4 linked regions of the Tamandua tetradactyla genome follow. The protein of the gene in region 4 interacts with the protein of the main gene of each other region in a pairwise test. Links are inferred from orthologs where the notes say so. Each region holds a gene or a part of one and is shown on either strand. Other genes may lie near its edges. The genes, in order: AIRIM, SFR1, EPC1 and RINT1.

Region 1 (7,991 bases), on a different chromosome or scaffold from region 4:
AGATGTTCAACATCATTAGCCACCAGGGAAATGCAAATCAAAACCACAATGAGATACCGCATCCCACCCACTAGAATGGCTAATATTTTAAAAGTCACTAGAATGGCTACTATTTAAAAAGTGGAAGATTACAAGTGTTGGAGGGGATGTGGAGACTCAGGCACTGTTGGTGGAAAAGTAAAATGATGCAGCCATGTGGAAGAGAGCCTGGCGGGTTCCTTAGAAAGTTAAGTATAGAACTACCAAATGACCAAGTGGCAATCCCACTTCTATTTAAGACTGAAAACAAGGACTCGAACGGGTATTTGCACACTAATGTTAACAGTGGTATTATTCACAAATGCCAAAAGATGGAAGTAACAAGATGAATGAATAACAAAATGTGGTATATATACAATATTGTGAAAAAGAAATGAAAATCTGATGTATGGCACAACATGGATGAACATTTAAGACATCATGTTAAGTGAAATAAGTCAGACACAAAAGAACAAATATTGTATGATCTCACAGATGTGAAATAATTAGAATAAGCAAATTCAAAGTCAAAAGCTAGATTATAAGTGACCAGGGGACAGGATGGGGGTAGGGAAGGGAATCAGCGCTTAATGTGCAGTTTCTGTCTGGGATAATGGAAAAGTTTTGGTCATGGATGGTAGTGACGGTAGCACAATACTGTGAACTCATTTAATAGTACTAAATTATGTACGTGAATGTGCTTAAAATGGGAAATTGTAGGTTGTATATATGTTACAAGAACAAAAATTTAAAACAACAATAATATGGGACCATATGATTCAAACAGTGAGCCTAATGTAAATCATGGACAATTTAACAACAGTACAATTGTAAAAATGTTCTTCCATCAATTGTAACAAATGTATCTCACTAATGCAAGGTGTAGAGTGGTACATGGAAACTGTATTTTATGTGTGATTCTTCTGTAGACCTACAACTTCTCTAATAAAAAAGACAGCATAAAACAAACAAAATAAGCCTTAGCTGTGACACCTACTAGGTTTACAGTATAGCTCCTCGTTGCTTTTCATCAAAAAAACTATCAATTAGTGCTGATAAGCTTCCTCCACTCCTTTGATACCAGCTTTTCTGTTCCGCTTTTGTGACCTCAACTAATTTCACCACTACCATATTAGCCTCTGACAAGGAAAATGTCTGAAAATGGCTTTTTGACAAAGGTCCAGCTAAGCAGGCAGAAAAAGAAGGATGAGAATTCTCTAATGTCATACTCTCATGTAAGGAGATAAACACTCTCTGACAGGTGCTGGCTACTGATCAAACACCCAGATTCAAAATATTTCTGTGAAAAATTCTGAGCCTCTTACATCCTCTCCCCGAGCTTGTCCAGGACAGTGTCACCAGCCTCCAGCTGCTTGCGTCTCAGCCGCTCCTTCAAGTCCGGGAAGGCCCGGAGCGACGGCACCTCGTTAAACCGCAGATTCTGAGCGGCTTGTAGTTGCTCTGCCAAGTTGCTGAGGGAAGCCAGGAGGGGCTGGCAGTCCCTCAGAGTACTTTGCCACAAGCTGTGCTGCGCCTCCACCACGGGAAAGCACTTCTTCAGGGCCTCCTGCACAGCAAGAGATGCCCGGTCCTGAGTCATCTTCTGCTGAATACAAAAGCAAAAAACAGAAACAAACAACAACAAGTGTTAAGGTCCCAAGTCAGAATGGGGAGAACGGGGTCAAGGGTGGGAATTATTTCGTCCTCCTGTGAGGTCAAGCTCTTGGCTTCCACCCTCCAACCAGGGGGTTCCTCACGCAGGTCTGTCTATCCCTTCAGACCTGAGCTCCCGGCGCGAAGCGTTGTCTTTCCTTCACAAAGGGCTCTGGGAAGAGTCCCTTTTGTTTGTCACCTCGAGCAGGGTTTCCCGACTATCTCTCAGAGGTAGGTCAATCTCCTGGCTCAGAATGCGGGTTCCCGGGGCAGAAACTCTGTATTCCCCTCAGACCGATGCTCCCGGATCCGGAATCTTATCTCCCCTCCTTGAAGCTGCCTACCCCTTTCCCTAAACCAGGGGGAAAAAACCTAAAATTAAGACAACCAAAGATACGGCAGCCGATGGGACAGCCACCGCGCGCTCGCGTCCTTCTGCACCCGCCCCAAAGCGACCTCCCCGAGAGCGCCTCACTAGACCACCTGGTCTTGCGAGCCGCGGACGAGCGTCGTCGGCCCGCAATGACTTCTGGGTGTTGTAGTCCCGGGCGCGGACTGGCCGCCGGATACTGGAGCTTCCTGGTGATTGGATGTTGTGGGACCTTTCTAAGACGGCGACTCCTCATTCGTTAACCTGGGGAAGTTGGATTTGAATTTGGTGGCGGCGATTGTAGGTCCGGTTCGCTTCAGAGCCAGTCCGTCTCAGCCGGAGCGAGCAGGTTTACCTCTGCCCTTGTTTGGGGACCCGCAGGTTCGTGCTTTGCTTCTTCTTTAAGCCCGGGCCCGGAAGGGAGGGAATCCCCTTTACTGACTCCCTTGGGACGCTATCCGGCCTCCCCCCCCCCCACCCCTCCGCCCCGTCGCGGCCCCCTTATTTCCCCTCTCTCTACTGCCCCACTAACCTCTTGTGACTCGGTCCCCCCTCCCCGTAGCCTCCACCCACCGAAACGTCATGGCTCCTGCGAGGAAGGGCAGCAGACGAACCACCAAGACCAACTCTTTGAGGAGCCGGAAGCTCGCCTCCTTTCTCAAGGATTTCGACCGCGAAGGTAAGGGGCACAGCCGGGTGGTCGCGGCTTCCCGGGCGATGGCTGGGCCCTGGTGGGTTGGGGAGCAGGGAGCAAGATTCCAGGCCCCTTTCACCCGCCGGGTGACCCGTATCCTGTTGATTCTGTCCTCTCGCAGTGCAAATGCGATCCAAGCAGATTCAGTCAGACAGGCAGAACCTCCTCAAAGAGATGGATAACTTGTACAACATCGAGATCTTGCGGCTCCCTAAGGCCCTGCGCGAGATGAATTGGCTGGACTACTTCGGTAAGAGCTGCTGGAATGGCCCTAGGCTTTGGCCTGGATCCCCTTGTGGTTACCGTGACAGGCTTTATAAAGGACTAGCTCGAACGTCATCCTCGTAGTGAAGTCTTCCCTGACAGCAGTTGAAAACTGCAGCCCTCCTGCCCAGCGCCTCTTTATTTTTCTCCATAGCACTTATTACCATCTAATCCATGAGTAGGCAGACTTTTTCCATTAAGAGCCAGATAGTAAATATTTTAGACTTTGTAGGCCAGAAGGTTCTCTGGCGACTACTCAATTTTGGTATTTTACCTCCAAAGCAGCTATAAGGAATGCACGTGACTGTGTTCCACAAAAAAATTTATGGATACTGAAATTTGAATGTCACATAACTTTCAAGTGTCATGAAATATTATTCTTCTTTTGACATTTTTTTCCAACCATTTTAAAATGTAGAAAGCATTCGCAGCTTGCAGTCCATACCAAAATAGACAGGAGCAGTTTGCTGACCCCTGATTTAGTCTAATATATATTTTCTGTATTTATTTTTGTTGGTTACATATCCTTTCACCCTACAACCAGGATTGTAAATCCATAAGGGCAGAGTAAGAATTTTGTCTGTTTCATCTGTAGCCAGAAGAGGAGCTGACAAGTACTAGGTGCTCAATACATATTTGTTAAATGATTAAATGAAAAACTTGGTTTGTTATTAGAGCCCAGGTAGAGGGATAACCCCTAGGCAGTGCTTCCTGCAGATTATGAAAACCGCCAGTTTAAAAATGGCCAAGTCAAATTGTGTAGTACAAGAACCTGAGACTTTTCCTGGCCAGAGGAAAATCTGTCTTTTCCCCACTGCCTTGTTAAAAGTCTAAGGAAATGCAGGAGGCTGCCCTTTGTGCTAAGTTATCCTTAATTTTTCCTCTATTCTTAATTACCCAGTAGGTAGCCTCCTTGGATAGAAATGCAGGTTCTGTGTATGCAGTAGACATGTAATGATCCTTTTAGCTTACTCTTTTAGTCATTTGCTCATTTCTACAAATACTCATTGAGCAGGTATCTGTCAAAATGCTAGGTGCTGAAAAGTGCATTGAGGAATAAAACACACTTGTCCCTGCCCTCAGGAACTGATGTTAGTGGAGTAGGGTCATTTAAAAGTTCACACACTTATTATATAATTAAAATTGAGTGGCAGTCAGTAAGCACATTTGTCATGTTTACTATGTCACACAGGCATTATACCATATGTTTTACGTATGTTTACTAGATTTATCCTCATAACAAACTTATTGATTATAAGCCTATTAATTATTAATATTATCTCTTTTAAGGCACAGAGAGATTAGTTACTTTGCTTAAGGGCTCATAAGCTAGTTAGTGGCAGAATATTTGAACCCAGACATTCTGATTCCGAAGTCTGAGTTCTTAACTGTTATATAGGAAGAATGCTATGAGAGTTTCTAGCAGGAGGGCCCATCCTAACTTATATTCTCTTTCTAAATCTTTGAAAGATCTCTTTGTTAAGCAAATATTTGCTGCACACTTAACATATTCCAGATTTTTGCCAGATACTATGAAAATATTATTTTTGTCCTCAAGGAATTCACAGCCCAAAGCAAAGTTAGATACTGAACAACTTCGAGTAGTTGTTGTGGAGGAAAAGGGTGAGCAACTAACTTAGCTCTTTGTAGCACCCTGCTTTATAGAAACATAAGCTAAAATTTAGGGAAAAGGTAGACCTGAGTTCAAATTTCAGTTCTTTCATATACCAGCTCTGTGATCCTGGTCAAGTTGCTTAGTCTCTTTAGCCTCAGTTTCCGTATCTGTAGAGTAGGGATTTGAGATTGAGTGAAGCATGGTAGGTGGATTGTTTGATACATAGGACAACTTTCTGAAGTGATGACATTTGACCTGAGTTTTAAGGATGAATTAGGAGTTTGCTGGGTTCAGAGAAGTACTGCAGGCAGAGGAAATAATAAGTATCAAGGCACTAAGTCATGAGCGACAGTGGCACATTTGGGAAATGAGAAGCTTAATGTGGTGGAACACAGAGTAGGTCATAATGAATAGGAGGAGAAGTCAAGGTTGGAGAAAGATTAGATTGTAAAGGTTCTTGAATTCTGGCCCAAGGGTTTAATCATGTCCAGTTTTAGAAATAACTGATAGTGTTAGGGAAGGTGAGTTATTGTTAAAATCTGATAGTAACTAAATAAAATGTTCTGTTTAAAGCCCTTGGAGGAAACAAGCAGGCCTTAGAAGAGGCAGCAACGGTAAGTAACCGCTCCTATTTTTTAATTGTTGGTTAGTTTTATCCTTAGTCTAGTCATAAAATCCAACCAATGGTTGCTTGTTGTGGAAGAGATCCATAGGGAACATTATCTGTTCATGTCAACTGAAAAATTGTAGTATCAGATGCTGAGTACATGAAGTCCGAATAGTTCTGAGTTCTGAGTTATAGAACAGATTTTATCATTCCTGCCGTAACTACTACTCTGATATTTGTATGTGCTCTGTGAGGAAAGGACTTGGAATCATGCCTGCTCTTGGCTATACCCATACATACAGGTAGTTACCACTGTGAGCAAATTTAATTAGAATGGCCACTGGAAGCCTTTTTGAAGAAGGCTTCTCATGATAATTGAGAGTCTCAAGACTTGCCAAGAGTGAGAAGTATGACACAGGACCAGGTATTGTAGAGGATCGTTAGGAACTTGTATTGAATATTGAAGCAATGTAAACAAGGATAACCACTTTGAAAAGCAATTTGGCATAATATCAAGGCTGAACCCTTGAATAATCTACAACCCTGTACTGCCCTATCCTTAAGTATATAGCCAAGAGAAAACGTGGATGTGTGCTCCAGAGACATATATAAGACAGTTCAAGGTAGCAGTATTTATAGTAGCAAAAAACTATCGATGGGAGAATGAATAAATCCCTTGTGATATAGTCACACAAACTGTTATATTGCACTGAAAAGAGATTAGCTACAACCACAAATGCAGTCAAAAACAAGCAAAGCAAACAAAATACTTTTTAAGCATGCAAACATTTGGAAAAAATATTAAGTGCATATATAATGTTTGTTGCATATACATACATACATACTCATATGCACATAACACACGTATTTATTTATTTTTATCTTTTAAAGAAAAGGTATTCTATTATTTACTCTCTGAAATAGTCCTGTAAGAACAATATGCACCAAGTTTATTTGAAAGGATTAGCTTCCTTTCAAATACAAGAACTATTTAAAGCAATACTGTAAACAAACTGGTCACATCACATATCTATAGTGCAGGTTTAAGAGCTGCAAATATATAGTTTTTAATCTTAAAGCTAGATATTTTCATTGAAACACAGTGTTTTTACATAGACAAGGTATTGCTAGAAAAGAATTTTTGTTCAGGCTTTATAGGAATGAATCAGTGATATGTTCCACTGAATTAGTGTCTTTATCTGCTTTGATGACAATGGCTGTAGGTAGAAGTGCTTCTGTTTAGCCACCAAAAAGAGACACTCTTGTTCCTTAGCTTTATTCTTCAGTCTTAAGGTTTATTTCTCATACTATATCTGAATCATAGCTAATATTTTCCAGTTTAATTCGAAGAATACTGTAACACATACAGACCAAATTGAGACAGCTTAGAATTCAGAGATCTTAATAATAGAGTACAGAAGAGAAATTATGTGTATGACAAAGGGATAAAAAAATTATTGGCAATCTTAAGCATACCAAACTAATTTTCCTACTCAAAAACTTCTTTTTTTTCTTTTGGCTTTGAAAGGAAAACACTAGTTTCGAGATGGGTTTGGTCTTAGACTTAGTGAGACAAAATAAAAGATATGTTGTTTCATAAGTCACAAAATGACAGTATACATTCCTCTTTTTTTTTTGGAAAAAAGCTCAGTAATCAATACTGGAGAAAATAATTTTCAGTAGTAACAGTATATATAAATAGAGAGGGGAAATGGACTTATTTTAGCATATTGTTATGACTTTCAAGAAACATAAACTTAAATTTACAGAAAATTGGAAGACCAAGTATAAGCAGTGTGGCATTTGCTTCAGTGTCTGGCACTATCATAATGAGTTCTAGCATAAAAGCAACAAGTTCATGGACCTCAAGTATGAGTTTTATAGTTTACAACTACTGTCCTTGTTTCTTTGAAAAATACCTTTACCAGTATTTGTGGTTTAGCTCCAAGAAGTCGTTTAATTTTGCTCTTTCCTTGAAGTACTGAGTTAATTTTAAAAGTTCTGTCTTTATCTCGATTTAGGTGAGCTTTCATAAAAGGTCTTATCTTTAGCTCATTCTATGGGATTCATTAGAACGTTTCTTCCTATGTCATCAAACGTAATGGTGTTTTTTTTTACTGTAAAATCCAAAAACTTAACACCAAGAGGTTTTATGTCGATTAATCCTCTCCTTGAGTATGTACTGTTGACATAGCAGCACTGTCCAACTTGAAGATAATCTTACAGTTTGCATTTTGCTTACTCCCAGTTCTTTCATTTTAGTTTCAATCCACTTCATATTTGTGGCAGGCCAAATAACAATGTCATAACCCTCATATTCAGGTGTTAGGAATTCTTGAAGATAGGGCCGCATTAATTCTAACCTAGTCTCTACACAAGACCTGTGGCCAAATAATGTATAATCAACAGCTAATACCAAAAGCTTTTTCCCTTCCCTGGAGAGGATTCAGAACTTCCACTTTGTATTCTTTAACTCTGCAAGAAATTTTCAGCAGGATTTCTTTCTTATTTTCTACTTCAACTACTTCATCTTCAATATCCAAGTCAATGACATGATCATCCTTGTCAGGTGGTGGACCTCAGACATCTTCCAAGCTCTCCTCACGAGTTCCCATCATCATGATTTCAGTATTTCGTTTCCGTTTGAGAGCTCCAAACGTAGTATCATTTTCTGCAGGTTTGCCTGTAACTTTGAGTCCAAGTAACTTTTGGTATTCTGGCAATACTCCTGTAAGGCTCCTGAGAAACTTTAAGATCTAGCACAGCATCT
Region 2 (7,443 bases), on a different chromosome or scaffold from region 4:
ACAACTAGAAATGAATGGGCCTTCTACCCAGAGAAAAATAAGAATGGTTACAAAGCCACTCAACTTGAATTCTGTGGTTATTGTGTTTGGTCCAAGCGTTGAGCCATCCCTCCCCTCATGGAAAAAAAAATTCATTAAATAGGGTAAAACTTATGTTTTACAACAATATAGGTTAAAAAATCTATTTTCCTAGTACAACTATACTTTAAAATAACACAAAATTCAAATTAAAGATATTTTCAACATTCAAAATCTTATAAAACTCAAGTAGTCATGTTCAGAAAAATCCTAAAAATTCAAAAGAACAAATGGCACATGCTAATCCATCATTTACTCCACATTGCTAGTGGAGAATGAGCTATTGCATGTATATGAATTATCCAGGTAAGTCATAATCCAAGTGCCCAAATTCGATTTTATTCAACCTATCTGGATTTAAATATAAAATTTAATACATATTTGTTGTATTTTCAAACAGAATGCCTGGAACATTTTAATTATTTGGGGGGGGTAACACAATATCACTACTAAAGATAATTTTTATTATATTCTCTGGCCCACTTTCAGCTTTTTTACTTATTCACTGTCAGCTGTCCCTTCTGTTCCCATTGTACTTGCATCTACCATTTGATATTTCTAATATTGCTCAAGGCTGGAAACTAGAGAGAAAAGCTCCAATTGTACATTAAATGAGAATCAAGTGAGTAGCTTTAGGTGAGACTTTCCAATGTTCTATTAGGTGTTTAGAGGCCCCTTCTAATTATTTTTGAGTTAAAGTTACTGGAATCCAGATTTCTGGATATGTGGCTTATTGCTTCTTATGCTAAACTAAATTTATTTTCTACTTTAGAAATTACTTTAATGTAATTTCTTAAATAAAAACAAATATTATGTAATAGTTCTGAAATTCTTCTCACCTTTGATCTATACATTTTGACTAGTTTTAGCCTTCGAAGAAGGTCTTCTTTCTCCTCAACCTGCTTCAACAATTTTGTTTTTTCTTCTTTGAATCCTTGTTTAGGGTGATTCTCACTCACAAAATCATTTTGGAGAGCAACGCATGACCCCAAATCAAGTGACTTAGATTCACATGTATTGATATTCTTGAAGGTATTTTTCAAATATGTGCTTTCTTCAAATTCACTGTCTATGTCTTTAAAACTTTCCTGAAATTCCAAACAGTTTTCTTCTGTTGAAGATGCTGGTTTCTTGGAAAAGTTCTGATCATTTTCATCATTCTCTACTTTAAGACGTTTTACCACGCTATAAGAAGAATGAAATGAAGATCTTGTCTTCCTTAATCGTTCTCTAAGTGTTGCACTCATGGGCTAAAAAGGCACAAAACATTAAGGAAAAAAAAACATTATTTATGTAAATAAATCAAGCAATAAAGACCCTACGTTTCTCTGGTAGACACCAATAGATGGCTTCCTGTCTCCATTTGCTTACAGTAACCACCACAAAACTGTTTTAATTCCCAGAAGCTCCGCTAGTTTTACTCTTTTTACTTTAGCTTGATCAATAATACCATTAAGAGTGTTAAGCTTATCCCAGTAACCACAAACATATGTTGAGCTACTAGCATTGTCTAACTACTCTATGTGCATTTCAGAGTTACAAATTAAAGGAAAAACCTAGGTCCTGCCACCAAAGATTTTCATAATGATAACTACTGCACAGATTTAAACTTTCTCTGTTGTAATAAACCAATGAGAAACTAAATGAATTAAGGATGAGAATTTTGAGATCAAATACATTATGTTAGAGAAAAATCTAAAATTATTTAATAGTTAATAAAATACATTTACCTTTTAATGAAACATATTATACTAATAATCTTCAGTAAACTTAAAGCTGCTACCTCCAAAACTTAGAAATATGGAATGGATTTACTGGAAGAATTAATATTCTCTTACTTGTTGCCTTGAACTATTGGTATGGGGAGACTGATCCTCATAGTCCTGTGACATAGTAGATAACGTCACAGCTGAGTCTGATGGACTTTCCATCTTGTAGAAGAAATCCTGGTTTACCTGTAAAAATGAAAAATATCCACAAAACGGAAATCAAATTAATCCATAACTCTATATAATCTGCAATTCTTATCAAAGAAATTTTGATTCTTGTATATAACACCCACAAGTAAGCCAGTAATTTCCTCTAATTTCATTTAGTTGCAATTCATTTCTGCTCTTTTGCAGGGCTGTTTTCCACATGAAAGTGACTACTAGTTTTTTCATGACAGATTAATTGGCTAAGTATCTCATTTAAACAAGTCTCCCTGTTTGTTTTTATCAAAAATATCTCCAACTTCTGTCACATCTTGTCTTCCTTAATCGTTCTCTAAATGTTGCACTCATGGGTTAAATAGGCACAAAACATTAAAAACATTACGAAATAAACATTATTTATGTAAATAAATCTAGCAATAAAGACCCTACGTTTCTTTGGTGGACATATGGGGGAAAAATAACTTTGGATAGTCAGGAATTCTTCAATTTAGTATGACAGCTTCATAATGAAAGGAAACACGGCCGAAATCTCGACCCCCAAATCAATCAGACCTGCCACACCACCCCTGAGAGGGGGATCAACGACCCCCCAGGGCTGAGGCAAATGGGACATAAGCAGAGGGAAATTTACACGTCTGCATCATTTTACTGTAACTAAACCCTGAAAATGAGTCGACTGACATTTGTTTCCTCAAACAAAGGCATCAACTTTACCAAGATGAACCGAGTGGGCGGTGTCCTTCCCTTCCTGCCCACCCTTGCAGAAATACCAGGCTAGCCCTCGAGAGGCCGGGCCTTGAGGTGGGTTGTGAGGTACCCTGACTGCAGAACCGGGGCTTAACTCGACTCCACAGCAAACCCCGGACTTAGTCCCACTCTCACACAACCACTTGCTGCCCAGGAGGTTACTGCCCTCCACCACTCCCAGAACCCGCAGAACTCGCGAGCCTCCGCGGCGGAAAGCCTCCAGCTGACCAGGAACCGGGTAGACACGTGATTGGCCGGGTTAACCGGCCCGCTCTGCTCCGTTCCGCCCGGCAACCAAAACGGGTCGAAACCACGCGAGATACGGGACAGACGCGTGATTGGCCGGGCTGGCCGGCGCGCGCTAACCTATTCCGCCCGGCAACGAAGAGGGGGCGGGCCACCCGAGAGCCTGGAAGGACACGTGACTGCCGGGTTGGCTGGCGCGCGCTGCTCCGCCCGGCCTCCCAGAGCCGCAACACGACGCGCGCGTTGCTGTGAGCTTCGGTTCGGTGTTCCGGGCAGGGCTGAGGTTCACAAGGCTTAAGTGATTATGAAGAGGGCATGCTTCCTCTTACAGATTCGCTTTCTTTCTCTTATCTTCAGTTGCCTTCCCTCCCCGCCTCCTTCTTTTCTTTGTGAAGTACGCCTGAACGAGTGGTCGTCCCCTGCGCCACCCTTTCCGCTGGCCGCCAGTTGGTCTCTCGCTCACCACAGCAAAGGCTCTTCCTCTTACTTGACGGGACACATAGCCCCCCAGCTGTGTGTTAAATTTACGATGTGTAAACTCTCCAAAGGCAGAGACTTCGAAAGAGCAGCTTTAGGGTTACATGACATAGTGAGAATCCGACATGTTATACATTTATCCAAGAGCCTTAGCGAACTTCCAACTAGTTTCTAACCTATGCTGCTGCAAATTTGGTAGTCTCGCCACCACGTTGTCTAATACTGTATCTACCTGAAAATTTAGACACCTTAGTCTGGCTTCAAATCTTTTAGTCAAATCTGAGGGAAATTTTAATGCAAGGAAATTTGTTGTGGAGCTGTACAAGAAGCAGTCAGTCACTAAATAGGAGGGTATTGATCGAGAATTCGGATGTTTGAGGCACAGAGGTCTTTGCTGAAGCGCTGGCAGCAAATCTTAGTCTCTGATAATCCACTTCCTTTCCTATGTTGCTAGGCAACAATGCAGTTAACTGAATTGGGTAGAGCACTGGATTTAGGGGAAGAGAGAAGAGTAATTTCTGAGTTAAGTGAATGTTGAGAATTTTAAGGGGCCAGTGCTTTGAGTCTTCTATTGAATGACAATTTTGTATCTTTACTAATATCTGAGCTCTTTGGTGCTACTTAAACTTTCTCTTATGTAGGGAGAAATACAGATCCTATGTAAAATTTGTCAAAAATAAGATAAGATTGCTATTTATAGTGTAATTTCCAAAATAATGGCTTAGAGGTAGTCAGAGCTGAGAAGGAAATAACTGAGTCCTAAACTGTGGAGTCCAAATACAGAACCTGAAGACAATCTAATTCAGTGGTTAAGGACTTAAACCTTGGAGTCAAATTGCACAGGTTCAAATACTGACTCCATTATTTTTAAACCTAATAATGTACAGTCTCTGTGTATTGATAGGTTCCTTCATCTTTAAAATGGGGATAATAGTATCTTACTCCTAAGGGATTGGAGGATTAAATGAGAATTCTTGAGAGGCAATTAGAGCAACATTAGACATCGACACATCAATAGTTTCCAATTTATATATGCAGGTATATTCACCATTCCCTACTTGATTCAATTCTTTCATTCCTTCACACTGCCCAAAATAAGGCCACATTATTTTTTAAAGATTCTGTGTTCTGAAAATTCCCTCACAAATTAAACCCTAAATAGCAGAAATCTTGGTGTCTCTCTATATAATCAATAACACAAATTCCACTTCTAAATTTTTCATTAATTATAAAAGTTAACCTGAAGGAATTTACAAAGTCAAAGAAGAGAGCTCATGACTTTGTGATACTGGAGTTATTCACCAGGCGAGACCACAGGTCTCAATCTGTACATTAATTTCTCTTAACTTACCCATTGGCATCAGGTAATCTCACTGCAAAAAGCAAAACGATTTGTCCTGGCACTGGAAGCACAATGCAGACTCTGCATGTTCTATATACCTTGGGGCATAAGGGTGGATTGTTTTTATGATTCCCTAAAGTCAGCTGCTCCCAAATCCTTTTATCATTACAACCTAAGTTTAGAGCTGTGTTTTTGCTGGCTCGTAAAGGAAAATAACATCTTGCCCAGCAAGTGTTCGGACTTGCTTATTTTTAAGTGAATTGGTATATTAAAATGGGATTGTTTGGGCCAGATTTTCAAAGAACTTCACAATAAGTACCTAGAATAACATATATTTCGGAAATGTGCATTCGTTGACCTATATCTCTGACTTCCATGCACTGTTAAAACTGAATGCTCTCTCCTTATATAAATTTGTGTTTACTTACTCCCTTCACGTACCAATGTGGAAACCAACCTTCCCCTCTCAGTTTAGTGTAAGGGATCTGAGATCTGTCCCTGTAGTTTTCTTTGTATCGTTTGATGCATTTCCCTAAAGGGCCCTGAAATCTATTGGTCTATAAAGCAGTTCGGTGTTTCTGACACTGGATATTATATGTTTCATATGAAACTTTTTCAAGAGAGTAAAAAACTGTCCCAGTGAGCTATCCTTACCCTACCAAATAGAGAACAATAGAATTCAAAGATAATAGTAATTAATTTCAAGCTAAATTAGAATGTCTGTGTATGTGTTTTTAAATTTTGATACCCAAGGCTACTGCTGGTCACTTTGTTATTTATAAGGAAGTGGTAAAATGCTTCTTCTGTTCTTGTCTGTGATTATTGTTGGTGGGGTGATGACATAAACCTAAAATCTTTATGAGACTTTTTTTTAACTACTTTTTTAATGGGAAGGAGAGAATAATGAAAAGAATAATGAACACACTCTCTCCCTCCCCCTCTCTCCCTCTCTTTCTACACACATACTCATCTTTTAACCACCATTAAAAAGTTCATAATTAAAACAAAAAAAAAGTTCAGTAGATTTTTTTTTTTTTTTTGCGTGGGCAGGCTCCAGGAATTAAACCCAGGTCTCTGGCATGGCAGGCGAGAATTCTGCCTGCTGAGCCACCATTGCACCACCAAGATTTATTATTTTTTAATTCTTGACTGTAGCTTTATTTTTCAAATCTTAACAGTAACCTCAAGGTGACCTAAATTCCATGCAATTCATTGGCTTTTCTGCATTGAAAAATATTTTGATATCATGCATCTATAGGTATTTTTTAAACAAGGATATGAAAATACACTTAAAAAATTTATTGTGAAAAATAACATATAATGAAAATACACTTTTAAAATTAGAATTAAATCTACTTGGGTGAGGAATTGTGCAAAATCCACATGATTAAGTTGATTTATAATGCGAAGGAGAAATTAAACTTTTTAGATAGATTTCATAGAGTTTTATAACACACAATATAATGTGCTAAATTCTTAACTGGTTTTAATATTTTTTGTGACGTTTGCGTATAAGTTGAAAATCACCTTCAGAAACTCTTCTGTAGGTTCCTCTTGCCATGAGTTCAAGTTACATTTTATCAGACCTACCAAATAAAGAGATGTTTTAGTCTCTGTAATTTCATAAATTTCCCTTTGAGGATAATTGACAATCTATTTCTATTTTCTCTATTACCTAAAAATCTTATATGAAATTCCATGCATAATTGCTTCACTCGTAGACACTGTTGAAGACTCTCAGTGCCTTGTTACCAAAGGGTGGCCTTTGTGGATAATCTATTTAATATTCTTTAGCCAAAATAAGCAAGAGAGGATTTTATTTTCAATCCCAAGATAAAAGAGTCCCTGATTTAGCATGCCTGAGAGATTGTCTTACTGAGTAGGATGGTTACTTAGAACATGGAAATATGATAGGGTCAATACCTTAATGTGATCAAAACCTTTCCATACCAGGCAAATAAAATGTTCAGGATATTACACCAAACAAGAGCCTAAAGAGTTACCCTCATCTGTAATTCCTGGCTTTTATTCCACCAGACCTGGCATTTTGTCAAATCCATTAAAGACTGGAGAAGCAAGAGTGTCTATGATTCACTGCTATTATAGGGTGTGTTCTCTTGGAGAAGAATAGACTGATTCAGGTTAGATTAATAACTGTGAGGGTGGGGGAGCCTGAATGTGGGACGTTATGATAGATGAGTTAGACTGTAGAAAGAAAATGGGAATAAAAGCATTGCTCAGGGCCACATCCTTCCCAGATCCTTTATTTACTCCAATATGTCACCCCTGTATTCATTTGGTAAAAAGAGGAATTAGATGTCAGCATCTCGAGAACTGCTAATTATTATGTAAATGTTTAATTTCAAGCATTATAAACACCATCTTTTGTGATATTTGTATATCTATGCCTTTGTATAAATGTTGGATATTTAAAACTCAACTCCTATGTTGCTGAAGATATGCACAAGCTAAATTAGGATGTCTGTGTATGTGTTTTTAAATTTTGATACCCAAGGCTACTGCTGGTCACTTTGTTATTCATAAGGAAGTGGTAAAATGCTTCTTCTGTTCTTGTCTGCAAAGATGAGCTTCATAGGCTTTAGGAAGCCTGTCCATTTA
Region 3 (7,398 bases), about 75 Mb from region 4:
TATTCCTTTCCTATGTCTTTCCTTTTAGTATACAAATATGCACACATCTCTTTCATCTTCAAAAGCAATAAAACCCTTGGCCTGAATAGCTTTGTGTCTCTCCTTCCCTTCATTGCCAAGCTGCATGAAAGAGTAGTCTACCTTGAACATCTCTCTTTTCTCACTTTGCATTCACTTAATTAATTTTAACCTAGTATCTTTGGCCCCATTCTGGAATCAGACAGCCAGAGATTCAAATCTCAGTATCACCTCTCATTGGCTTTGCAACCACAGGCAGGTCATATCACCTCTCTAAGGTGAATATCTCTCTACAGGACACACCTCATAGAGCTCTCATGAAAATTAAATGAGAGAATACATTGAAAGCACTTCCATACTGCTGGTGTATAGCAAAGGCTCAATCAATGGTAGTTATTATTCTTAATGATCCAAAGTATAATAGGAGTTCGGAGATGAGAAAGATGGGCATAGGCTTAAGAAGAATTATTTTTAGTTCACCTAAGTTTCCTTATTCTTGAAACTAGGAAGTTAGGGCCCAGAGATGTTGAATAGCTAAAGAAAGCTTCATGGAGGAGATGATATTTGAGTTGGATTTTGAAGAATAATTAAAAATAGTGACATCTGTCAAGGGTTCGCAGTGGCCAAGTGACAATTTGAATGATTTACATGGATTTTATTCAACCCTGAGACATTCTGTGAAGTAGGACTTCGGTGGCTAGTAGATGGTTAGTCTGAAGGGGGAGAAGGAAGACAGAGAGAAAAGAGTGAAAAATCAGAGGCAGAAACATGTGATGAGTTCTAAAGACAGTGTCAGAAGCCAGGATGAAGAATTTGTCTTAGAGGTCTGATGTTGGATAGAGAAGGCAAAATTATGGGAGGTCTTAACAACCTACCAAAGAATTACTTTATTTAACGAACAAAATAAAGAGTAGTTGTGGTTTGGTGGCAGACACTGCACCATGAAACCCTGGAGGGCAGAGTTTCATGACTAACTCCCCAGGGGCCCACGCCTCTACCAGCCACTACCACTAGTCACTATTGGGAGATTACCAGCAATTTTGACAATATAGGGAATAAAGGCTGATTGAGGGAATGAATGAATAAAAGGTGGATTGGATTGAAGATTGTTTCTACATGTGATGTGATGAAAGCTTGAACCATGTCTGAGACAGTGGAAATGGGAATAGAGGCAAATCTTCTATTTTCAAAGAAGAAAGTATGGACTAGGGGATATACTGGATGTAAGCTAATATTCAGAGCCTTATTTCAGGTTTATTATAGAATGCAAAATGCAGTGTCAGAGCAGTTGTATTTGAAACGTTCTCTCTTTGAAGTGTTTGATTTTTTTAAAAGCAGTAATTCTGCATTCAAAACAAATCACCTTTCAGGGTGATGATATTGTAATTCTTACCACTAAAACTTAGGCCTCTTTACTTTCTACTCCTACTCCCTCCACTCACGTTCTTACCAGTTTTGCATAATACTTTGATTGTTGTAGGAGTTCTCTACTGAATGCTGGCCAAAATAAACCCCCTCATCCTCAAACACACCTAACAGTTGCCCTTCCCAACCCCAACTTTTGTTCATTTAATTGCTTCCTCCTGTGAATGCCCTTCTACCCTTTTCTAAACTCCCATAGCACTCACTACATTTCACTATACCACCTAGTACTGGTCATTTGGTTAACTGGTTATCCCTTGGCCAGTATCTTATTTGTATCCCTTACAGTGAGGTACCGTGTATTGCCTAGTTATCCAATAAGTATTTGTGGCATGAATGAAGGGTGTTTTAACTAACTGCAAACACCTTTCCAACAAAGAGTTTCCCATTGAGGAAATGTTATTCAGCTTTATACTAGTATACGTTTCTTGCATCATGTTGAGAATTTTTCTTGCAATGTTGAGAATTTCATATCACTTTTGTTGATGTTTAGAAAAAGAAGTTGAGAGTAGAAGAGAAAGTTAAAGTAAAAGAAATTGCAGGAGTAGGTATTTTGCAAAGAATCTTTTGGTGGGTTAAAGGAAGCTGAGGAAAATTAAATCTGTATTTTCCCTTCTGCACACCTGACTCTAAAGAGGGAGGGAAGTGAACCAAATATATGAGAGGCTTGGGACTTCAGCTTCTGGGTCGTTAAGAACCCAGTAGGAACTGGGAGGTAGAAATTCAGGACATTGAGGACCTGGATGGAGAATCAATGCAGAAAAAAAGATGTCTCTAGCATATTAGTTGCAAAAAAAGCAAGCTGAAAAATGTGTAAGCATCTCCAAAAACCTGTCATGGAGAGCAACGCTAGAGTTTCTTAGAAAACTTACCTGTACAATGATTTTGTTACTAATGTAGTATGAGGAAAATGTTATGCATAAGCTGTTATTTTTAATGAAGGTAAGATGTGTTTCCTTGGTTCACTCATAACTTAAGACCCTATTTTGTTCTATAAAGTCTTAGGTTCCTCAGTCACAAATTTAACTACTGGGATTCGGGGAATCTCATATTCTAGGCTAGATGGAAAGAACTGTTATACTCATTTCAGCCAGTATTTTCAGAACTGTTAAATCTGGCTAAATAGGAGTCATGCTCCACAGTGGAATTGGCAGTTCTTTGAAGTTCCCAGAATGTGACATGCTGAGTGTCTCAGGCATAAGCCTTTGCAAGTGCTTCCTTCTAGTTTTTTGTTTGTTTGTTTGGTTCGTTGGTTGTGTGTTTTGTTGTTTTTTGCATCATCTCCAAGAAGCCTTCCCTGACTGCTTTCATTATAGCCACTATCCATGGGTTGGGTGCCATTCCTGCTTGTTCTCACTAGCCTGGATTTCATCATAGCAACTTACCGCTAAGTGTGGCAGTTGTGATTCACAGGTCCTTCCTCCTGGAGCCCTCTGGGTGCTGAGCAATCAGCAGCACAACTGGAAGAGAGCAAGGGCTCAAGGTTTGCTCTTTGGATGAATAAATGCAGTCTTGGTATAGAAAATGTGGGTGAAAGTCCCTCTGCCTCACAGAGTTTTAGCATAATTTTGGAGAACTACAATCTATGCCTCTCCTTGTCTTTTCCCCACCCCATTGAGTATAGTTAAACCAACCTGGAAGATAACAGTTTGCTTAAGTGCCCTAAGCTAATAATAGTTCATACCCAACCCAATATTTAAGAACACTGGTTATTTTTATTATGTAGCCCTATCCTCTCCCTGTGAGGGACAGACTTACAAAATACTTTCGTTATCTTTTGAAAAGATGTGAAATTTTGTTGCCACCTCATTAAAGCCACCCAAATAATCTTAACGATTTTTAAAATACTACTCTGGAGAGAGTTCTCTGGACATTCATTTTCCTGTGTAATATAAACCAAATGTCAGCAATGTATTACATCTATCTAAATCTCTTCTAATAATTCGTTTCCCGTGCGCGCGCGCGCGCTCATGGGGTGTTGTTGGCAGGCGCCTGGCAGCCTATATGGTTCAGTTTTATAAATATATAATTTTTTTTATTGAACAAATGATAAAGAACCCATGGCTATGCTGAAGTCGCCTTTTCTTTTCAGTACAAAAATCACAAGCTGAGTATAAAGTATAGGCTGTTAAACTCTGAAGAAGATCTTGCTTTAATTTTTTTTCTTCGTAAGGTTACAGTATCCAGTTTCCTTTCTTTGCTCCAATTACAATAAAAGAGTTAATATGGGAAGATAAAATGTAGGCTTAAAAAAATACTTTGGAGTAGGAAACCAGCGGGAGGGAAACTGACCTATGAATTGATGAGGCGCCTATCAAATGACAGAACCCAAGTTCATTAGACGTAAAAAAAAAAAAAAATGCGGGTAAAAGTTCACTCGAGTCACATTCTGCCCCTAATTTCGTTTGTATTTTTGCCGCGGTAACTAGGCTATGCGTTCGCCCACGAATTGGCCACCGGTGCGCACCACCTCGGGAACGCCTGTCCCTGGTCCTGCCGCAGGTGGCGTTGGCAGCCTGGGCGTCGCCCCCGCCCCTCGCGCCGGCCGGGATGGCAGGTGCCCGAGCCCTCGGACCGAGCCGCAGGGAGCGAGCCCGGCCAAGGCCGCCGCCCCGCGACTCTCTCCGCACTGCCTTTCGAGAAGCCCGAGGGCGAGTGGAAATAGTTTTCCTGCACCTTCCTTCGCCTCTCAGAAGAGAGCGGTCAGAGGGAGCGAGCGTGAGAAAGTGAGCGCGTGCGCGAAGAGGAGAGGAAGCCCAAGAAGCCGGCTCCCGGCGCCTGAGCGCCTGGCCCAGCTGGCCGCCCGGCCCTGGTCGCGCCCGACCGGCGGCGGGCGGGGGCCTGAGCAGCGAGGCGCGGGGAGCGAGGCCCGCGGGAGCCGGGGGTTGACGGGACGCGCGCTCCGTGCCGGCGCCGGCCTCGAGCCCGCGCTCCCCCCCCCCCGCCCGCGTGCCCGCGCCGCTGCGCGATGCAGTGTGGGGAATGGCTGGGGTTGGCTGAAGAGCGCACAGTGGAGTTTTAATGTCCGCCATGTTGGCCATGGCGTATTGAAGAGAGCGAGCGAGAGAGGAGCGGAGCGGCACAGACTCCCACCCTCCCGGCTGGTGTTAGTGCCCGGACAGCGGGCTCTGCGCTCCGTCCCTCAAGTCCCCGGCAGCGGTAGGCGAGTGGGGACCGAACCCCCGGTTCTCCATGATCCCGCTGGCCGGGGCCGTTTCCCCAGAGCGGAGAGGTATCTGCTGCGCCTGAGATGAGTAAACTGTCGTTTCGGGCGCGGGCGCTAGACGCCTCGAAGCCGCTGCCGGTTTTCCGCTGTGAGGATCTGCCAGACCTGCACGAATACGCCTCGATAAACCGGGCCGTGCCGCAGATGCCCACCGGAATGGAGAAGGAAGAGGAGTCGGTACGTGTTAACTCCCCTGTCCGACCCACCGCCAGGCCCCGCTCCCTGTGCTGCCTGCGGCGGCGACGGAGCAGCATTCCCACACAAAATGGCCGCCATCTTCTCTTCCCCGCCGACTCTCAGTTGCCGGCCGGGTCTTTACCCCGCCCTCCCCAGCCTCGACCCCGGCCGCCGCGGCCTGGTAGGGCCTCCTCTGAGGCCACCCGTCGACCCCGGCCACTGGTACCCGGGTCCCGCGGAGTTCGGGGGCCCGAAAGGCACAAAGGGGTCACGTGACGAAGCCGCCGGCAGCCATTTTGTGGTCTTTAGTTCTTGGGCTGGGCCTTGTGCATCCGGAGAGGGGAGCGGGCTGGGCGGCGGGGTGCGGCGGGCCCGGCGCGGAGCAGGACGACCTGCCTGCAGGCCTTTCCGCGGGCCGCTGGGTGGCGCTCCAGGGTCACCTCGGCCTCCGCGTCGCTGCTGGCGCTGGGGAACGCTGGTCTATGCAATGGGGCGGTTCGGCTTCCCCGGCGCCGGGAAAGCTTGCTCGGCTGGAACCAGCCCCACACGGAGTCTCGGAGGGGGCCTGGTCTCTGAGGCTTATTTCTCCCCCTCCCTGCAACGGAGTGTCGAGCTTACTGCGTGTTTGCCCTGACGACTTTCATAGATTAGAATTATTCGCAGTATTCTCTTTCTGGGACTTTTGCATCCATCCCTTCCCTCCCAATGTTAGTTAGTCGGAGGATGATCAACTACTATCTCTGATTTTTTCTTTGATCCTTGAGAACATGTTGCAGATACGTTTGGAATACGTGGCTCTTATTTAAAGCCTATAACTTTAATGTATTTTTTTTTCTGTAAAATTTAAGTTTTTATGCTTTCTGATCTCACAACGTGGGGGGAGAAAAGACCCAATTAGATAGATCTAAATTTAGGAAGAGGGTCATTTTCTTATCCATAGTTAAACTAAAGTTTAATGAAGTCATAGTCTTAACATTGAAATATCTAAATCGGGTGGGTTTCAGAATGTAAATGTTTGTTTACAGCTAATAGACATTTTGTTATAGCTGTGGCTTCACCTTATTGTGGAAGTTGGGTTCAGACACAAGGATAATAGAATCTTCCTCTCATTTCCCCCAGATCCTTGACAGTATAACTTGATAACGTCTAATCCTAAGGAATTGCATACCTTGGTTTTCAGGTACAGCCATTAAAACAGGGTGCAGTGTATTGACAGTTCAAGGAAGTCGAGGAATCGCGTGGATATGCTACAATTTTGTTGTGGAAAATTGTACTGTAATGCTTCTCTTTGGTACTGTAAGAATTTTGAATGTAGTAATCATACTCTGTAATGTTTTTGAAAATAAAACTGTTTAAACTTGTTTGGGTCGTTTAACCTTTCAACGTACAATAGTTGTGACAGCGAATGTTACTTTTAAGAGTAGTGTGTTAAATCTTATTTTACAGATAAGCTAAGTGCATGTAGTAGTTGATTGTCTAGTGTAGTACTGACTTTTAGCACCTTGTCTATGAGACAGCATCTCTTAATTTATTACTTGTATCAACTTTAGAGTAGAATGGTACCATTTGTTTATTTTTAAACAAGTGATTTGTTTTTAAAAATTAAAATACTTGTGACTGCAGAATCTTGTCTTTTGGTTTTATTTTTGTTTCTGTTTATAAGTTTTGCAGATAATACTTTTCAAGTTGGGGTTTTGGTGTTACACTACCTTGGAAATTAATTTGTAATTCTTGTTTACAGCCAAGGGGAGAGCCTTGATTAAAGGAAGGTAACACTACAGTACAGTTTAAGTCTTTGCTTCTATGAATACTTTGAACAGTCCCAAGAGCTACCACCTAAAGTTAGAGCTACGCTTAACTGAGGCATCAATGCTTATTAAATTTACAGATAATTTTTGTTCACTGAAATTATTTTGACATTTGATAATGTGAATGGATCTCATTAGATTGCAGCATTACAGCATGTGGAGTCCCTGTGGAGGGACATAGGGATTTTTTTTTCCTTTAGACTGCCTTTAACATCATCTGTTTAGAATTTCAGTTCTCATCTACCGAATGCTATGTGTATGATCAGTGAAGCATAGCTTAAGAGTAGATACCGAACTTAACGGGGATGTAAAAAGTACCAGGTAAACAAACAAGCTGCTCTACAAACCTGTGGTTCATGCTGGTGGTAGAACATATAAATAGTGGTATTGAAACTAGCATGGTTACAATATTGGATGTGTAAGCTAAGCATAAATAAAGGTAACTGAATTCTGAGTTAATCTTGTAAAAACAAGAACTTTTGATAATTTGTTGAAGCATCTTTTATTTCTTACAAAGAAGAAGGTTAAAACAAACGTCTGCCTTTGACACATTAGGGATGCTGTCTCTTGGGTCTGAGTGACCTAGAGCCTGAATTGACTAATTTAGAAAAAGTAAATAATCCTATGTTGGTCATGAAAGATGGGGCCGATATGGATTAGGACAATTTCTTGTACTCTGCTTCATTAATAAAGCATTTCAGGAACAAAATGCATCTGTAGAATTGTCGTGAAATATCCCTAGTAATT
Region 4 (7,881 bases):
AGCAAAACTAACAAAAAACTGCAGCTCAATTTCCCAACTACAAAATAAATCTATAAAATTTGCCTCAGGCTACTCTTAGAAGTTGGAAACTGGACTAAAATTCATGTTTTCCAAACTCTTAACCCAAAATATTTTCTTCTTCTTCACACATGAGGAGAATAGGCTGGCCTGCACCAAAACTTTATTAGTTCAGAAATCCATCACTATTATGTACAGAAGTCACAATGCCTTCTTTTCTTATTTATCTTATATAAAACAAAAGTGAGTCGTGTGGTATATCTGCAGACAAATGGAGGTAGAGCTATGAAGAAACAGGATGTTTTGTGAATGCTATTGTTGCTGTACCTTAAGAAGTAAATTATATCTACATATTAAAAAAAAAATTAAGCCCTTTTGATGTAACCATTTAAATGCAGCATAGCACATTCTCTTTTTCTTTTTTTTTTTACATGGGCAGGCACTGGGAATCGAACCCGGGTCCTCTGGCATGGCAGGCGAGCATTCTTGCCTGCTGAGCCACCATGGTCCACCCAGCATAGTACATTCTTAATCAAATAACATTTTTCAAAATGGCACATTGGTGATTTAGAAGGTATGGTGATTTTTAGCTGTATGTACCCCAGAAAAATGTGTTCTTAAACCTAAACCATTCCTATGGAAGTGAATCCATTGTAAGTAGGTATTGTTGATGACTTTATTTCAGTTAAAGTGTGGCCCACCTCAATCAAGATGATTCTTAATCCTATTACTACAGCTCTCTATAACAGGATGAAATTCAGACAAAGAGAAAGCCACAGAGGGAACAGCCAGAAACAGAGAATCTGGGAAACCTGGAAGAGAAGGGAGAGACCAGGAGACACTGCCATGTGCCTTGTCACATGACAAGCTAAGGACCAAGGATAAGGGATCTCCAGCAGTTGCCTCAGAATACCACAGTCTTTGGGGAGAAAGCATTGCCTTGATTTGGACTTTCTTTTACCCTCAAAACTGTAAAATAATAAATTCCCATTGTTTAAGCCAACGAATTCATGGTAATTGCTTGAGCAACTAAGGAAGCTAAAACAGGAGGTTTTTATTTTTCTCTATTTTTTTGTAAAGAGCATTCCAAATTGCAAAGTAATTAACTGAGCCACCAAGGCAGAGACAGGACAAATGCTAAAATCAACATCTATCATTTTACTGAAATGACTGCTCAGCAGGTATTAAACTTCCCAGGTACCTGAATGGGGCAAAAAGTACAAAAGGGAAGGGTTTGAGTTGGAGGGTCCTAGCCTCAAATCCTTCAAGGAAAAAGAGCTGAATTCTGGTGGCTATGAATGTGAAATGCTAAGCACTACTTAGAGTTTTCTTTCTGGGGCAGAATACGTTGGTGGGAATGTCAAGGGTAAGTTTGATTCCTAAAGGCCATATGGTAACATGGGTACAAGGGTACAAGAGTGTTACCATTACTCTTCGCAGACTTTTTGCATGGTCAGAAGAACCAAAAGGCTCCTAACAGAATAGTTATTATGTATTTTCCCTCCTACTCTCCCAATAAATTTTCACTTCAAAAGTTTCTGATGATTCCTATTTCCAATAGTCTGCCATGCTCGGTTCATGATAGTAAAATGACAAACATATATATCCTGACATATTTTTCTATCCTAGGGAGGAAAGGCAGATACTGACCTTATACACCTTCTGCATTGAGATCAAGATCCAGATTATATATAATCCATTGTGCTCATCCCACGACAATTTTTAATTGCGAATACACTGATGTTTAAAAGTACAACTAAATAGTCATCATTTGACTCTTCCGAATCCATTTAAGGTGGTGGTCACATCTCCTAGGTAATTAGTCCCTCCTAATTTCATGATGCTTAATGAGTTGGTGTTTCACTCACTGTAAATGACAGGCAGGTCCCCAGGTTATTTTGAATCCTGTATGATGGGCAGAACTCCACGGAAAACACCAATCCCTGCACTAAGTAGGGATCAGGAAGTGATCTTCTCCAAAGCATCCCATATTCTACAATTTTATAAAGTTAAGACAAAAATGTGTGTAAAATAACCAGTATTTAATATTATATAAGCTTATTGTACAGAAAAAAGACGCCTCATCTAAAAATAACAGGATAAGTAAGACCCCTTCTCTGATGTGGACCTCGGAAGGCTGAATTTTCAGTGATGGCCGGGCAGAAAAAACTAAGGTGTTTGAAGCCTGCTTACTTTTTTCTTCGACGTTCTTCCTTTCTTCTTCACCATTCTGAGGACAGCACTGAAAGGAGAGGAGGTGTGACAAACACATTAAGACCCAAGTTCTGGGTGGAACTCAGGCAGGGTTCTACTGGACGGGCGAGCAGTCCCAGACCCCTTCCTTGGTGCCCTCCTGAAAGGTTAGAATGGTCCGATGCCGCTTCAAAAACGACCACCTCCCTGGGAGGTCTGTGCCATTTCACCGGGTCTGCCAGAGCCACTTCATCGGGCTGCCAGGGCCACGTCACCAGGACAAGATGCCTCGGGAGATCCATGCCACTTCACTAGGATTGCAAGGGCATCTCCCTCGGGACCGCCCGTGTCACCTACCCGGATTGTAGGGTCTCTCACCAGAACTAACCCTTTCGGGAGATCTGGGCCACCAATGCCACCTCCCTGGGGATTGTGGGACCATCTCACCGGAGTGGCCCGGGCCACCTTACCGAGGTCACAAGGGCCATCTTCCCGGGACTACCTCTCTCGGGAGGTTTCTGCAACCTTACTTTGACCCCTCACCCGGACGTCTCACCGGGGCTGCGGGCGTTTCGCCGATCTCGTCAGCCGTGAGCATCCCGCCTCCGCGCGTGTTCTCGGCTTGATGCGCAGCCAGTGTGGACTGTGGAATACAGCCCGGGCCAGAGACTTTGCCGGGACGAAAGACCAGATCAGTCTTACAGACTTCAATTCTGAACACCAAACGCCACCGAGACTTCCTCCTACCGTCTCTCTGGTTTCTTCCTCTCCGACTAGAGAGGCCGGGTCCGCGCAGTCGCGGGCCGCGCGGCGTAGCTCCCCCTGCCGGCCAGGAACTGAGTCAGCCGCCTCTGTTGCAGGGAGTAAGGTTCCTCTCAACCATGGTAAAGCCCCGTACGCGGCGTTGGGGCGCTCTATTATGCAGCTTGACGATACTCCTCCCTCCACGCCACAAATTCAGTATAAAGTATTTAAATTTACATTTAAGATGATGTCCTTCGTTTTTCTGCTTCCACTTAAAGATGTTCCGAAAGTGTGAGCGAGCTTGTCGACTAGGAGCCGTTAGTTTGGGCTATTTAGTTGGGGGAATTTCCAATGTCAGTATTTTTGGATCTTTCTTTTGAGGCTGGTCAGGTTTTCTTCGGATGATCGTCCAATTTCCTGCCTGGAGGATGCAGATCTGATTGTAAGTGTTCTGAGAGCTGAACGGAGGAAGAGGTCGCAGCACCTAACATCTAACATACACTTTGCCCAGTGCAGACACAAACACACACACATACGCACACAAATTATCTTTTGACAAGAAAGAGAAAGAGGAGTTACCTAGTGGCAAGGAGTAGAGAGAGGACCTGGGGATTTGACAATTTCACAAACAAACTAGCACAGAAAATAGTACGATAAAAACCAAAACACAAGGGGGTGGGGACAACTTGCTTGAGCAATTAAGAAAGCTAGAGGAGACAGAAACCGTTCAATGAGGAGAACACTAAAAAATATATTATGAATATCCTGAGAGGGGTATGAGATACCATCACAACCATAAAAAAAAAGAGCAGATTTTTTTTAAGTAGCATTCAAAGACAAGCAGCTATACATATGATAGCAGAAATGAAAAGTTCAGTGAAAGAGTTGGAAGATAAACGTTGGGAAATATCCTTTAAAAAAAAGCAGAAGAACAAAGAGATAGAAAATTGAAAAGAAAAGATAAATTAGAGAACCAGTCCAAGGGTTCCAAAACTAAAAATAAAACTTCTGAAAGGGAAAATGAGAAGAGGTAAGCATGGAGGAGATCATCAACAAAACAATTCATGAAAATTTCCCCAGACTGAAAGTCATGAGTTTCCAGATTGAAAGGGCCCACTAAGTGTCCAGGCTCATCACTGTGAAACTACAGAACATGGGGGCCAAAAAGATGATCCTAAACCTCCAGAGAGAAAAATAGATAATTTACAAAGTTAATTTCTCAACAAATCTTTGGATTTCTCAACAATAACAAAGGAAGCTAAAAACAGAGAAGCAATTCTCATTTCAAAAGGAAAATTATTTCAAACTAAATCCTATACTTGATTGAGCTGAAATAAAGATATGTTCACATATTCAAGAATTAAAAAAATATATGTTTCATTTATCTCTCCTTTCTCAGGAAGTAGCAAGAGGTTGTACTCCCCTAAAATGAGGGAGTAAACAAGGAAAAGAAGACACAGGATATAGGAAATAGAAAATAAACAATGGAGAAAAATAAAGTGAATTGCCATAATTGTGCACTAGGCATAGAGCCACACAGGTCAGAAGGTTCCAGAAGAGATTCTTCAGAAAGAAGAAATTGATAGAACAGTTCATGTATCTCATCCTCTGGAGGGGGAGATTTCAACAATTAGTAGAGAGCTTGGATTTGGAATGATGAATAAGTAAACCAAAAGAAGATCATTAACTATAGAAAAAAACAAAAGCTTGAAGGAAAAGTGAAGTAATCATGGTTTATTACTTACCTAAGATGTGAATAATGTTTACCTCATCAAAATGAAGTAAACAAAGCTCTAAAAACAAGCACAAAAGAACTTTATTGGACAGATAGAGATATGAGAAGTGTGATGAAGATAAGGGAAAGGAAGAAGAACCAAATCCTCATTTTCCATTAAGTGAAGTCAATAGATAATGTTATGTTTTCAAACGATAGCCAACTGAAAAATCAGAGGAACTGAGTCCAAGTTTAAAAAAGTTTATTATCCTGGGGGAGTTCCCGGGTCCAGGTGCTCAGGGTGCGGGCGGGGAAGTCACGCCCCCCTGGGGGCGGTGGGGTTAGATAGAGGCTAGCTAGTGGGGGTGCTGATGATGCCTACGGGGCCCCCTGTGGTAGGTTAGGAGTTTCGGGGGCTTTAGGGCCAGGGGCATAGGTATGGGACTTGGTTGGTGGATTTCCAATGAATGGAGGTAGCCTAAGGGTACAACCACTGAGAGAAGGAAGGGGGAATTGTGGTATATACGTACAACTGACTGAGTGGCTGCAAGGATGAATGAAATTGTAAGCCCTGCAACTAGGTGAATGAAACTTAAGGGCAGTATGTTGAATCAAATGGCAGAAACAAAAAGAAATATGATCATGCCTCACTCACATGGACTGGCTATACTATATAAACTCAAAAAATTGAATCAAGAGCATGGGTTGTCAGGTTGGGGCCTATTGTAAAGGGTTCTAAATTATAAGCTCTTTCAGCAGTCACACATATTCAGGAATTGTAACTGTTATTTCTAAATTCTGAGATACTTAGCTAATTGAGTATAACCTGGTCATTCCCTGAAACTTCGGGTATGTTTATGACACCTGAAACTCTGTGTTAGAGCATTGAAGCTACAGAAGTCAGCATTACCCTATACAGCAACTGTTTAAAAAGTTGAAAAAGTGATCAGATTTCAACTAGAGATATGAATGAAGCTGACTTGGATAGAACTAAGGTAAATCAGAATATAGGGTAAAGGATAATATGGCCCATATTTTAAAACTTCAACTTGAGACCAAAGGGAGAATGTTTATTTGGTGCAAAATTTATATTTTGGGTAGTGCATTTCCTAATTTAATTTGTATGATCAGTTTATTTAAACACCATAATTACATGGAATCATGAATAGGGCATGAGATCCTGTTGGTTTGTACAGCTTAGTGTGATGTAACACTACATCCCAGAGTAATTTGGGCAGAGAATAAAAATGTATTTGCAAAGTCCCCTTGGGGTACTGGGGAGAAAGGAGGAGACATTCAACTTCCCCATCTGGGGAATTCCTGATATTCTCACAGCAATGGGAACAACAAATTCAATAGGCTGAGGCCTCAATCTTGGGGCTCACCCCTATGGAGCTTATTCCTGCAAAGGAGAAGCTAACCCCACTTACAATTACGCCTAAGAGTCTCCCCCAGAAAACCTCTTTTGTTGCTCCGATGTGGCCTCTCTCTCTAAGCCAGAGAGGTGAACTCGGCAGGTGAACTCACTGCCCTTCCTCCCTACAGGAGACATGACTCCCAGGGGTGTAAATGTCCTTGGCAACATGGGACAGAAGTCCATGGATGAGCCAGGACCCAGCATAATGGGATTGAGAAAACCTTCTTGACCAAAAGAGGAAGCGAGAAATGAGACAAAGTTTCAGTGACTGAGAGATTTCAGAGTTGAGAAGTTATCCTGGAGGTTGTTCTTAAGCATTATATAGATAACCCTTTTTGGTTTATGGTATACTGGAGTGACTGGAGGGAAATACCTGAAATGGTTGAGCTGTGTTCCAGCAGCCTTGATTCTTTAAGAAGACTGTATAACAATACAACTTTTACAATGTGACTGTGTGATTGTGAAAATCTTGTCTGATGTCCCTTTAACCAGAGTATGGACAGATGAGTAAAAAAAAAATAAGGATAAAAATAATAAATAATAGACGGTGCTCTAGTTTGCTAGCTACTGGAATGCAATATACCAGAAACAGAATGGCTTTTAAAAAGGGGGACTTTTTATTAAGTTGCAAGTTTACAGTTCTATGGCTGTGAAAAATATCCAAATTAAGGCAAGTCTATAAAAATGTCCAAAATAATGCACCAACAAGAGGTTACCTTCACTCAAGCAAGGCCTGTTAAGTTCAGGGTTTCTCTCACACCTGGAAAAGCAACTAGAAAAGCACATGGTAAACATGGCGACGCCCACTGACTTTCTCTCCAGGCTTCTTGTTTCATGAGGCTCCTCCAGGGCATTTTTCTTTTTCATCTCCAAAGGTCTCTGGTTGTGTGGGCTCTTATGGTTCTCAAGTTTTTTTCCAAAATGTTTCTTCTTTTAAAGGATTCCAGTAAGCTAATCAAAACCCACCTGGAATGGGTGGAGTCACATTTCCCTCTATTCAAAGGTTAATACTCAAAATTGGGCGTGCACATTTCCGTGGAGGTAATCTCATCAAATTTCCAACCTGCAGTGCTGAATAGGGATTAAAAGAAAGGGTGCCTCCCCAAGATAGAATAGGATTAAAACATGGCTTTTCTAGGGTACATACGCCTTTCAAACACGCACGGGGTGGGGGGGGATAAAGGGTAAAAATGTGGGTAGACTGAAGTATGAGTGGTCAATGAGAGGGAGAGGTAAGGGGTATGGGATGTATGAGTTTTTTCTTTTTATTTCCATTTCTGGAATGATGCAAATGTTCTAAAAATGGTCATGATGGTGAATATGCAAATATGTGATAATATTGTGAGCCACTGATTATATACCATGTATGTACTGTATATGCGTGACGATTTCTCTATTTTAAAAAATATTTTTATTGACAAATCTTCACACACATACATTCCATATCTGGTGTACAATCAATGGCTCACAGTATCATCACATAGTTGTGTATCTATCACCATGACCATTTTTTAGAACATTTATATCACTCCAGAAAAAGAAATAAAAAGAAAAGAGAAAAACTCATACATCCCATCCCCCTTTCCCCTCCCTCTCATTGACCACCAGTATTTCCATCTACCTAATTTCTTTTACCCTTACCCCCATTCTAGTTTGCTGGCTGCCGGAATGCAATATACCAGAAACAGAATGGCTTTTAAAAAGGGGAATTTAATAAGTTGTTAGTTTATAGTTCTAAGCTAAACTAGCAATTTATTAAAAATGTCCCAATTAAAACAAGTCTTTAGAAATGTTC

Evidence for each region.
Region 1: the proteins of RINT1 (region 4) and AIRIM interact in binary tests that used the Homo sapiens proteins (3 or more experiments, as listed by UniProt). The two-hybrid records come from large-scale screens. The link is inferred for Tamandua tetradactyla from reciprocal best matches to the Homo sapiens genes RINT1 and AIRIM.
Region 2: the proteins of RINT1 (region 4) and SFR1 interact in binary tests that used the Homo sapiens proteins (3 or more experiments, as listed by UniProt). The two-hybrid records come from large-scale screens. The link is inferred for Tamandua tetradactyla from reciprocal best matches to the Homo sapiens genes RINT1 and SFR1.
Region 3: the proteins of RINT1 (region 4) and EPC1 interact in binary tests that used the Homo sapiens proteins (3 or more experiments, as listed by UniProt). The two-hybrid records come from large-scale screens. The link is inferred for Tamandua tetradactyla from reciprocal best matches to the Homo sapiens genes RINT1 and EPC1.

Annotation. Positions count from the first base shown.
Region 1 is NC_135328.1:187,625,199-187,633,189, reverse strand, and holds the start of AIRIM (AFG2-interacting ribosome maturation factor), read right to left. Parts: upstream 3,013-7,991; 5' UTR 2,986-3,012; coding exon of another isoform or gene 2,857-2,985; 5' UTR 2,721-2,856; coding exon of another isoform or gene 2,624-2,720; 5' UTR 2,615-2,623; exon of another isoform or gene 2,604-2,614; intron 2,525-2,603; exon of another isoform or gene 2,306-2,524; 5' UTR 1,800-2,305; intron 1,625-1,799; exon of another isoform or gene 1,622-1,624; 5' UTR 1,619-1,621; coding exon 1,344-1,618; intron 1-1,343. Other genes in the region: CDCA8 (borealin), read left to right, coding at 2,624-2,720, 2,857-2,985, 5,188-5,228. UniProt on the Homo sapiens protein: Part of the 55LCC heterohexameric ATPase complex which is chromatin-associated and promotes replisome proteostasis to maintain replication fork progression and genome stability.
Region 2 is NC_135339.1:66,210,619-66,218,061, reverse strand, and holds the start of SFR1 (swi5-dependent recombination DNA repair protein 1 homolog), read right to left. Parts: upstream 3,013-7,443; 5' UTR 2,718-3,012; coding exon 2,694-2,717; intron 2,034-2,693; coding exon 1,917-2,033; intron 1,329-1,916; coding exon 918-1,328; intron 1-917. UniProt on the Homo sapiens protein: Component of the SWI5-SFR1 complex, a complex required for double-strand break repair via homologous recombination. Acts as a transcriptional modulator for ESR1.
Region 3 is NC_135327.1:218,877,553-218,884,950, forward strand, and holds the start of EPC1 (enhancer of polycomb homolog 1), read left to right. Parts: upstream 1-4,390; 5' UTR 4,391-4,690; coding exon 4,691-4,843; intron 4,844-5,246; exon of another isoform or gene 5,247-7,398. UniProt on the Homo sapiens protein: Component of the NuA4 histone acetyltransferase (HAT) complex, a multiprotein complex involved in transcriptional activation of select genes principally by acetylation of nucleosomal histones H4 and H2A.
Region 4 is NC_135327.1:143,943,119-143,950,999, reverse strand, and holds the start of RINT1 (RAD50-interacting protein 1), read right to left. Parts: upstream 3,005-7,881; 5' UTR 2,810-3,004; coding exon 2,768-2,809; exon of another isoform or gene 2,700-2,767; coding exon of another isoform or gene 2,682-2,699; intron 2,261-2,681; coding exon 2,212-2,260; intron 1,886-2,211; exon of another isoform or gene 1,669-1,885; intron 1,022-1,668; exon of another isoform or gene 765-1,021; coding exon of another isoform or gene 755-764; intron 1-754. UniProt on the Homo sapiens protein: Involved in regulation of membrane traffic between the Golgi and the endoplasmic reticulum (ER); the function is proposed to depend on its association in the NRZ complex which is believed to play a role in SNARE assembly at the ER.